Linked DNA regions of Callithrix jacchus. The protein of the gene in region 3 interacts with the protein of the main gene of each other region in a pairwise test. Links are inferred from orthologs where the notes say so. Each region holds a gene or a part of one and is shown on either strand. Other genes may lie near its edges.

What was found.
Region 1: the proteins of OTX1 (region 3) and CHIC2 interact in binary tests that used the Homo sapiens proteins (3 or more experiments, as listed by UniProt). The two-hybrid records come from large-scale screens. The link is inferred for Callithrix jacchus from reciprocal best matches to the Homo sapiens genes OTX1 and CHIC2.
Region 2: the proteins of OTX1 (region 3) and COMP interact in binary tests that used the Homo sapiens proteins (3 or more experiments, as listed by UniProt). The two-hybrid records come from large-scale screens. The link is inferred for Callithrix jacchus from reciprocal best matches to the Homo sapiens genes OTX1 and COMP.

The regions. Positions count from the first base shown.
Region 1 is NC_133504.1:142,680,000-142,683,961, forward strand, and holds the start of CHIC2 (cysteine-rich hydrophobic domain-containing protein 2), read left to right. Parts: upstream 1-1,162; 5' UTR 1,163-1,520; coding exon 1,521-1,639; intron 1,640-3,962.
Region 2 is NC_133523.1:17,495,903-17,499,909, reverse strand, and holds the start of COMP (cartilage oligomeric matrix protein), read left to right. Parts: upstream 1-1,207; 5' UTR 1,208-1,228; coding exon 1,229-1,307; intron 1,308-1,566; coding exon 1,567-1,652; intron 1,653-1,886; coding exon 1,887-1,938; intron 1,939-2,328; coding exon 2,329-2,501; intron 2,502-3,166; coding exon 3,167-3,304; intron 3,305-3,569; coding exon 3,570-3,644; intron 3,645-3,732; coding exon 3,733-3,891; intron 3,892-3,968; coding exon 3,969-4,007. UniProt on the Homo sapiens protein: Plays a role in the structural integrity of cartilage via its interaction with other extracellular matrix proteins such as the collagens and fibronectin.
Region 3 is NC_133515.1:51,063,952-51,066,182, forward strand, and holds part of OTX1 (homeobox protein OTX1), read right to left. Parts: intron 2,039-2,231; coding exon 1,887-2,038; intron 600-1,886; coding exon 1-599. UniProt on the Homo sapiens protein: Probably plays a role in the development of the brain and the sense organs. Can bind to the BCD target sequence (BTS): 5'-TCTAATCCC-3'.

The DNA.
Region 1 (3,962 bases), on a different chromosome or scaffold from region 3:
CCTTCAGTTACCGATAGGAGGTTGGCATTTCTCACTGTCTTCATTGACCTCCTTTGGACTTTCTCCATGTTAGCATTGACCCATCTATAAAGCCAATTACTGTGACATAAACACTGCCTCACTTGGAGAATAGTGTGACCAGTGCTGGGCTCAGTAGAATTATCCTTTCTTCTCCCATGGTGTATCCTCACTGTCCAGGACTCTCTTCTCAGAAATCCACTCCTGCTCCTGGACTGTTTGTATGCTTAATGAAACCAAGTACCCAAAGTGACCCTTCAGCCCTTACTAGGCAGATAAGTAGACTCCATTAAACCTTTTCCTTCCAGCCTCCCCTCCTTCCTTTTTTCTCTCCCCCTTTCTTCTTTCCTTCTTCTCGTCCTATCCTTTCTCCTTCCTGCTTCCTTTTCTTTCTCCCTTTCTTCCAAGGTCTTTTCTGTGGGAGGAGCTGGTAAGAAAAGGAATTCCCTAAGGTTTTAAGGAAAGAAACAGGTTACTGCATCTTCTAATATGGAATCCAGGTAGTTTATCAGCTTTTTCATAGCATGACTATGGTGAGATTTCTTGTAAGGCAAAAAAATACCAGCATCACTGGACTCATATATTGGATTATACTTAAGGGGATTAAGGGACAAGATGTTTGAAATTGGAGGCGTCTTGGAAAATCCTACAGTGGACACAAATGTTCGCAATGTCTCTGCTGCGCTCCTCCAACTGGGAAAAAAGAGACTCTGGTACTCATCATAGACTGAAAACCTGAGGAAAAGCGAGATGCGATTATCAGATAAACTGGCAATGACACGCACAAAAATGTGTCGATTCCAGCCAGGGCTTTTCTTTTCAATTGTTTGTTTGGGTTAGAGATGACTTTGGGGAACTGCATGTCCCAGTGGACACTCTGAGCTGCGTTGTCTGAGTCGTGGGGTTGCAGCCTCTAGTCAGTAGAGCCGCCGCCCCCCGGGTCCGCGACTCCGGAGCCGGCGAGCGGGGCCGCGCTGGCGGGAGCGCGCGCCCCATGCACCGTCGGCGGGTGGTAGCGGAGGAAAGACGGAGGCCTGGGAGCGCGCGAGGCTTCATGTGCGCGCGCGCGCCCGCCCGCCCGAGCGCCCACTCGCCCACGCGCCCACGCACGCGCCCGCCCGTCCGCACGCCCGGGAAGTCTCGCGATGCCGTAGCCGGCTGCTCCCGCTGCGGGTGGCTCTGGCTGTTGCTGTGGTTGCCTGAGTTGCTGCTGCTGCGGCGGCGGCGGCAGCGGCGGCTGTGCTGGTGGATGTGTCGGCCCCTGGGCGGATGTTGACATTGTGTTGTTGTTATTGCTGATAGTAATGGCGGCGGCGGTAGCGGCGATGGTCCAGACGCCGTCTCCTCTGTAGCCGGAGCCAAGACATCAGAAAGGGAACTCCGCGGCCTCGGAGCCGGCGGCAGCGGCGACTCCCCTCAGCCTCCGCCGCCTCGCCCGCCCGTACCCCGGCGCCAACCCCGGGAGTCAGGCCCCTTTGGGCAAGGGCGCTCGGAGGCTCAGGATGGCGGATTTCGACGAGATCTATGAGGAAGAGGAGGACGAGGAGCGGGCCCTGGAGGAGCAGCTGCTCAAGTACTCGCCGGACCCGGTGGTGGTCCGCGGCTCCGGTCACGTCACCGTGTAAGGCCCGGAGAAGGGCGAGGGCGGGAGGTGCGGGGCTGGGGTGGGCCCCGTTACTCCATGGGAGTCCCCTTTCGTCGGTGTCCGTCTGGTGTCGGTGGCCTTCGGAAAGAGTAGGCGACCAGGAAGTAAGAACTTGCCTTATTTTCATTTGTTTGGGTCTCCGAAGTGGGGACGGACGCTGTCCTTTCTCCTCCACACACCCCTTTAGCAGGCCGTACAGGCCCGGCGATGTGATGATCCCAGTAGGCATGGGTTTTCATTAGGGTCTGCCCTGCAGGCCACCCTTCAGCTAGCTTCAGGGTGGAAGTACGGGTATTGACAGGGAGCCTCCTTGTTTTCTCGCCCAGTTTTCCTGTGGTTCTCTGTGCCTTTGCACCCGGTGACATGGCTCACAGGCCAGATCTGGGCCGTGTGAGACCCCAGTGACAATTGGCAACGAGGCTCCTGTCGTGTCTATTTCACACATACTCACAGGTCTTCCAGTTCTTCTTCCACAGAGTTAATTTCCGCAGAACTAACGCAAGTTCTTGTAATTGTACGTGATAAAAATATATAGTTGAATACAAATTTAAGATATGCAGAAAGAAGTATGTTTTCGACAAATTAAAAAAAAAATCTACGTGAGGGACATACACTCTGCTCAGGTTACTGAGGGAAAATTGTAGTCCCAAAGTTCCTCCTTGGGGCATGAACTTGGAGCTTCTTAATGTGTTAAGAGTCCCTGTAAGTCCCACTAGTAACATTAAAAGTCTAGTATTAAACCATAAGGAAGGAGAGCTTTCGGAAAGGCCGTGACAAATAAAGGAATGTGAAGACTTGAACCAAATAATGAGCTGTCCGGAAGTAGGAAGTTTTGTAATGTTTCTCTGTGAAGTCCACAGTTTTGTACCACCTGATATATTGATACTCTCTCATTTTAGATCTCTTGTTCAAGTCATAGATCAAACTTCCATACTTGTCAGATATCTCTGTACTTCTTCCCCTTTTCAGTAAAACAAAAGGGCCAGCAAGTTGCAGAATGTCTGGAACAGTCTTCTTTATATTTTGGCGAACAGTGAGTGGGATGTGCTGTGAATAACTTAGGGAAACAGTAAGACTTCTCATATAAGTTTGTCAGCAAAATAATTGCATTTCTTACATGATATGACCAGTCATATTGTCGTTTGGGTATACTTATGTAATGCTTTGATTTCTTTGGCACCTGTTAGTTTATATTCAGGTGACTTAACAGGGCACTGCATAATTGCTGTCATAGCACCATGACAGGACAGTGGAATTTATCACCACCATGACTCTTTCTAAGTGTTCTATCATTACCAGCTTGAGAAATATAACCAAATATCATGAATATTAAACTTTTAACATATATCACAGAACTCATAACCTACCATTTGCTTTTATTTTGACTTTTAGGATGTTTTTGCATTGTTTTAAGCCTAAGGAGTATGTAGATGCTTAAAGAAATTATTTCCAAACTTTGTCATGCCATCTTTCCTTCCCACTACATTCCTCATGTCAAAGAAAAGCTAGCAGAATTTTGTCGTTTAAAAAGGCGGTACTGTAGTTGTATTGTTTCCTCTGTTAAGGAGAAGAAAAGCACTTTGTTGGGTAAGTGGAAAATGTAATAGTGGGCAAAGTACTCAGAACCAAATAGGTAATCAGTAAACTTGACTGTAGTTGGCTACTTGGAGAGGCTGATAGGATAGAAAAGAATTATTAGTGGTTTTCAAATTTAGCTGTTCCTTAGAATCCTGAGTGGCTTTAAAAAAGACCCTTGCCTTTGCTCCACCCCAGGCCTGTTGAAGGCCAAGCACTAAATGAGGGTCCTAGACATGGATAATTAAAATAATAAGTAAATAAATAATAGAATCTCACAGGTAAGTCTAATGTGTAGCCAAAGTTGAAAACTATTCCAGGTTATAGGGAGGGATTATCTGCTGTCAGTAAACAGTATGCCTTTCTACCTTGGGAGTTAAATCTCTGATCTTCTCAACAACTTCCTTCTCCTCCCATTTATCTTGGTTCTAGGTCATGGGTTAAAATCTATCTCAGCCACTTCCTGGGTAAATTATTTATTTATGGCCTTTAGTTGAGACGGGGATAGTTAGAGTCCATACCTTTTAAGATTATTAAGGATTAAATGAGATAGTAGTACATGAAAAAAATTTATTGCAGTGTGTGGTACTATGTTCACTAGATACTAGCTTTTATTATTATCCTCCTCAGGTACAGTTTTCCACTTTGAGAAACAGGTATAAAACAGTACTAAGAAATTAGAACTGCCATTGTCAAACATAACAGTGATTGACTTTAGTTTTAC
Region 2 (4,007 bases), on a different chromosome or scaffold from region 3:
CCAGATGAGGGCCTCACACCCTATTGTATAGATTGGAAAACTAAGTGGGCAGTCCCCTTGGACAGGGGGCAGGGCAAGATCCTGAGCACTGCCCCTCCTCCACCAGCTGAGGGACTATGGGGAGGAGGAGCACCAGCAATGAGCTGGGTTGGGAGGAGCCATTTGCAGCCCTCCAGTGTGGCGACTAGAAGCAAGTCTCCTTGGACGTGCAGGGGAGGAAACTGAGGCACAGACATAATTTATCCAGTTGTTTTTCTTGGTGGGGGACAGAGTCTGGCTCTGTTGCACAGGCTGGAGTGCAGTGATCTCAGCTCACTGCAACTTCCACTGCCCCATTCAAGTGATTCTCTGCCTCAGCCTCCGGAGTAGCTGGGATTATAAATGGGCCACCACACCCGGCTAATTTTTGTATTTTTAGTAGAGACGGGGTTTCACCATGTTGGCCAGGCTGGTCTCCAACTCCTGACCTCAGGTGATCCATCCACCTCAGCCTCCCAAAATGCTGGGATTACAGGCATGAGCCATGGAGCTCAGCAATTTACCCAGTTTTGAAGCACATCAAGAGGGAGTGGAAGGCCAGTCAGTCTGACCCATAGTGGGTGGGCCTATTCTTTCAGATACTGTTTCCCCACGTGTGAGCTGAGGGCGTGGCCAGGGAGCCCGATTTGTTTGGAGCTGGAACCCAGGCTTGGCAAACAGCAAGCACTAGACCAATCATCAATCAATGAATGAGCTGAATGCTACAGCGGAGCCTGTAATCCCAGTTCATGGAGGATCGCTTGAGGCCAGGAGTTCCAGACCAGCCAGCACGACATAGACCCAGTCTCTAACTCTAAAAATAAAAATTTAAAAAAATTAGCAGGGCATGGTGGTGCAGCCTGTAGTCCCAGCTACTTGAGAGAGGCAAGAGGATGTGATATAGCCACACCCTATCTCAAAAAAAAAAAAAAAGTGAATGAAAGTGGGGAGGCACCCCCTGACTCCCTGCCCCACCAGTTCTCTCCCCACAGATCCAGGGACTCAGTTTCCCCACCATGTCAGATTCAGCCGCGGGTGACTACACAGGGCATTCTGGGCGGGGCCTTGAATGCAGGGCCAGCGCCATCTGTTTACCTTGAGGCTGGACGCTGGGCAGGGCTGCGGTGGGCCGTCCCTGGGGCCGGCCGTGCCTTGGGGATAAATAGGCCCCGTGGGCCTCGTGGGCGGTAGACAACGCCCCGCCACCGCCATGGTCCCCGCCACAGCCTGCGTTCTTCTGTTCACCATGGCTGCCCTCGGCGTGTCTGGCCAGGGCCAGATCCCTTCGGGTAAGCCGCGTTAGCACCCGCGCCGTGGCCACCGCCCCAAATGGACTGCAGGACCCGTGAGAGGCCCGGGGTCCAGGCTGTTTGGGGGCTCACGGACTGTTCACAGGGGACGTGCGGGGCACAGAAAGCAGGTGGCGGGACCGAGGCTGGACGAGCGGAGTGGGGCGTCGGGTCCAGTGTCCGGGTCCGCTGCGGCGGTGGGAGTTGGTGGTGGGGTTCCCCTGCCCCATGACGCCTCACAGGTCCCCTGTCGCCGCAGGCTCAGACTTGGGCCCGCAGATGCTGCGGGAACTACGGGAAACAAACGCGGCGCTGCAGGACGTGCGAGAGCTGCTGCGGCAGCAGGTGCGGGGCCGGGTGCGGGGCAGGGAGTGCGGGGGAGCGGAAGGGGGTCTCGGTTCCCATCCAGGGGAGAGGAAGTCCCTGGAGGGCAGAGGGGAGCTGGGGAGGGAAGGGGGTCTGTGGGTAGGGAGTCCCCGGTGAAAAGAGGCGGTGGAAAGAGAATCCGGGGCAGAGAGAGGGGAGACCCGAGGGACCAGGAGAGGTTGGGACCCCACTGATTCCACCCCACCCCTGCAGGTCAGGGAGATCACGTTCCTGAAAAACACGGTGATGGAGTGTGACGCATGCGGTGAGCGGGCCGGGAGAAGAGATGGGGAGACAGAGACACAGAGAGACAGAGAGCGAGGGAAAGCTGGGGACAAAAAGAGACGGAAGGAGATCGAGGCTGACAGAGGTGGAGGGAGACGAACGGGAATGAGGGGGAAGGAACAGAGACAAAAAGAGACAGAGGCGGTGCGAGAGTTTTGGGGAAGTGAGAGACGCCGCGGGGCAGGAAAGAGCAACAGAGACTCAAAGAGAGACCAGGGAAAGAGTGCAAGCAGAGCGCCCAGCCCCGCCGGGGAGGGATCGCTGAGAGCTCCGAATTTCGGACCGCCCTCGGGGCGGGGGCTAGGGGTAGGGGGAGAACTTCCAGCCCCCGGGCGTGGCTACGACCAGCCCCACCACGTTCCCCCTGCAGGGATGCAGCAGTCCGTGCTCACCGGCCCCCCGAGCGTGCGGCCCCTGCTCAGCTGCGCTCCTGGCTTCTGCTTCCCCGGCGTGGCCTGCATCCAGACCGAGAGCGGCGCGCGCTGCGGCCCCTGCCCCGCGGGCTTCACCGGCAATGGCTCGCACTGCACCGACATCAACGAGGTGCGCCGGCCCCGACACCCCACCGCGCTGACGACCCCCTCTACCGCCCCCCAATCTCTCGCTGTCCCGGAGACCCCTTGCTCCACTTGGGGTGCTCGCCCCGACAACCCTCTCACCTCCGGGGGCACACGGCCGGGCGATCTCCCTACCGCTGGGGGACGCCCACCCGGAGGACGATCCACGCCACCACCCAGGACGCCCGCCCCCACGACCCTCTCCATAGCTAGTGACGCCCGCCCCGACGACTCCCACACCGCCAGGGGTGGTCGGCCCTAGCTACCCTACTCGCCGCAGGGAGTCGCCAGTCCCAACGACCCTTCCATAGCCGGGGAACGCACGCCCGGACGACACCGCCACCGCAGGGCCCGCACGCCCAGATGATCCCTGCCCCCCTGTGCTGGGGATGCGCACCCTCATCCTTCCTCCCCTCGCCCATGAGGGAACAGCCCCTGGAGGCGCCCTCTCTTCTCCTCTCCCGGTTGCACCCTTGCCATCAAGACAAAGTCGCATCTGACCCCTGCGACAATTGCTTCCATCTCGCGTGGAGCACAGCTCCAAGCGCTGGCTGATGACTCTTGAACTTTCCAAATCCGAAACACTCCGAGGTGTGGCCCCCAGGGCCCAGCTCGAAGCTCTCTGACCCTCCGTGGCCCCTCCTCCCCCAGTGCAGCGCCCACCCCTGCTTCCCCCGCGTCCGCTGTATCAACACCAGCCCGGGATTCCGCTGCGAGGCTTGCCCGCCGGGGTACAGCGGCCCCACCCACGAGGGCGTGGGGCTGGCTTTCGCCAAGACCAACAAGCAGGTGAGGGGTGTGGGGGCCCCATTTCTGCAGCAGAAGGGAAGGGGGCGTCCATTTTGTTTACTAGTAAACGCCTCCTCCAGCCTCACGCACTTTTTCCAGCTTTCTACCAGCGGGCGGGACGGAGAGAGGAGGGTCCGCTGCGCCAGGGCTTATCGGTTGAGGGCAGGATGGAGGGGAGAAGGCAGGATGTGGAGGAAGCGTGGACCAGGTGGGAGGTCCGAGGTATCTGCGTGGGGTGGTGGCCTCTGAGATTCCCCTCCCCTAGGTTTGCACGGACATCAACGAGTGTGAGACCGGGCAACACAACTGCGTCCCCAACTCCGTGTGCATCAACACCCGGGTAAGTCCCGCCGGGGAGGAAGGACAGATCGCGGGAGGTGGGGCGAGGGGCCGGCGGCCTGCGCTGACCTCCAGCGGCTCGGGCGCAGGGCTCCTTCCAGTGCGGCCCGTGCCAGCCCGGCTTCGTGGGCGACCAGGCGTCCGGCTGCCAGAGGCGCGCGCAGCGCTTCTGCCCCGACGGCTCTCCCAGCGAGTGCCACGAGCATGCGGACTGCGTCCTGGAGCGCGATGGCTCGCGGTCGTGCGTGGTGAGTGCGGGCTGGCCGGGCGCGAGGCGGGCTTGGGGGGCGGCCACGCCGGGGCACCCACTTACTGTCTCTCGCAGTGTGCCGTCGGCTGGGCAGGCAACGGGATCCTCTGTGGC
Region 3 (2,231 bases):
GCGTGTGGGTGGTGATGATGGTGGCCAGCCATGGAGGAGGGTGCCATGGGGCTGAGCTGGTGCGGGTGGTGATGCGAGTGCATGGGCGCTAGGTACGAGCTGCAGTCCACGCCGCCAAAGTAGGAAGAGGAGGGCGTAGGGTAGCCTTGGCCGTAGCTGCCGCCCTGGCCGTAGGACATGGGGTAAGAGGCTGCTGCGGTGGCGGCGCCTGCAGCTACCGAGCGCTGCATACACGAGGCGTTGCTAGGCGCGGCCAAGGGCTCCGGCACTGACACGGACGCGGGCGCTGAGCCTGGTGAGATGGAGGCCGGGCTCCAGATTGATGAGGCTGCGGGTGTACTCAGCGACGACGCGGCGGCCACTGCCGGATTCCCGCCTAGTCCCGCAGCCGCTGCAGCCGCTGGGTTAGCAGAAGAGCTGGATGCCGAGCTAGAGGACGAGGCAGAGCTGGACACAGCTGGCGGCGTGAATTGGCCACTACTTTCGGAGCCCGAGCTCTCCCGCACTGGAGAAGACTTCTTCTTGGCTGGGCGGCTCTTGGTTCCGCTCCCGCTCTGCTGCTGCTGGCGGCATTTGGCGCGGCGGTTCTTGAACCAGACCTGCAGTGGGCCGGATGGGAGAGAGTGGGTCAAGGGGGGCGAGGGGAGCTTGCTGCTCCCCCGCCCCTAGTACCCTACTCCCCGCCCAGAATCTCGCAACCCTTTTCCACCGAGGCCTCCGCCCCTTCCTGCCTCAGGGGTGGCCAGACCCTGCCCCCCACCTCGGTTCCCAGCTCCTCCACCCTCCTCCATCCTTCTGCTTAAAGCCCTTCCTCAGCTGGCTCCAAAGTAGGGATGTGCACCTCCCCACCCCTACCGCAACTCTGCCCTAGGGCAGAATATTTGAGTCTGTCCAGCCAGAAGTTCTGCCATCTCTAAATTGCTGCTGTTGGCTGCTTACGTGTATGTTTGGAGGCCCAGTTTTCTAATAGAGCTCAGGCAACAGCGGAGAGGTACAAAACAGAAGAGTGTAGAACAGTTACCAAGTCTAGGGCCAGAGCCGTTTTACTGAGCAACTCCTGGAGGCCAGAACTGGGCAGGGCAAGTATTTGGGTGGGAGTAGGAGCAAGGCTAGAGGCTAAACAGAGGCAATAGTTGAGGGACTCGGGAAGGAAGCCTGGGTGAGATTTCGTTGGGTCTTTGGCTCCAGCTGGGGAACCAAATGGAATGGTCCCTCTTCTGGGAGAGTCCCAGCACATGGCGCTGCATTCCTGGTTCCCCTTCTCAAGCCTTCGAGTAAAGGAGGCGAGACAAAAGGCTCTTGAGGAGAGTTCGGAGTTAGAATCTGAGCATTATCATCAGAACCCTTTCATCTCAAAAACAGAAATAAGAAAGCCGGTAGCAGGGTTTTGCACTTGGCGTCCTTTGTAAGCAGAGGAAGCGTCTAATGAAACCCAGGCAGAGCACCAGGCTCTGGCCAGTCTCCGTTCTTTCATTTCTAGGATTCCCAGGGTGCAACCCAAGAGCAGAGGCAGAATTCAGGCCTCTGAGGGAAACTGCCAAGTCCTGGGTCAGGCGAAGAAGCAGGGGCAAGTGTCAGGCCCGCAGGGTGCTTTACTTTCGGGAGCCTCCCTGGTCCTCCTGCAATTCTAAAAAGGACTTTCAATACCAATACCTAAGGCGTCCTAGGGCTAAGGGCGGAATCTAGGGCTCTAAGCCATTTCCCTTAACTTTTGCCCCCTTTCCTGGCTGGGGCCCAGCGCTAGGGGGAGTCCGAGAGGGGCTGCCCAGTCTGTCAGCCCACCCCTGCAGGCCGGTCTCCTTCAGAACTCCCCAGGAGCCTTCCGAGACCTTCCCCGAGCAGCCACAGCGCCCCTACCCAGACCCTGGAGCCTGGGGAGTGCGGACCTGGACTCTGGACTCCGGCAGGTTGATCTTGAGGGCCACCTCCTCCCGCATGAAGATGTCAGGGTAGCGAGTCTTGGCGAAGAGCGCCTCGAGCACGTCCAGCTGTGAACGCGTGAAGGTGGTGCGCTCCCGCCGCTGCTTCCGCGGAGTGGCTGTGGGGACAGGCGGGGGCGCCGCGGGTCATTGGTGGCCACGCGGACCAGGGATAGTGAACTCTGGGAAGCCCCTGGCAGGTTCATAGCTCGGCCTTCTCAAGAGAAGCCGAACTGGGAATAAAAGAAACTCCCTCCGGCGGCCGAGCCTGAGAGGCCACAGGTGGGAGAAAGTGCTTATGTGCGACTAGGA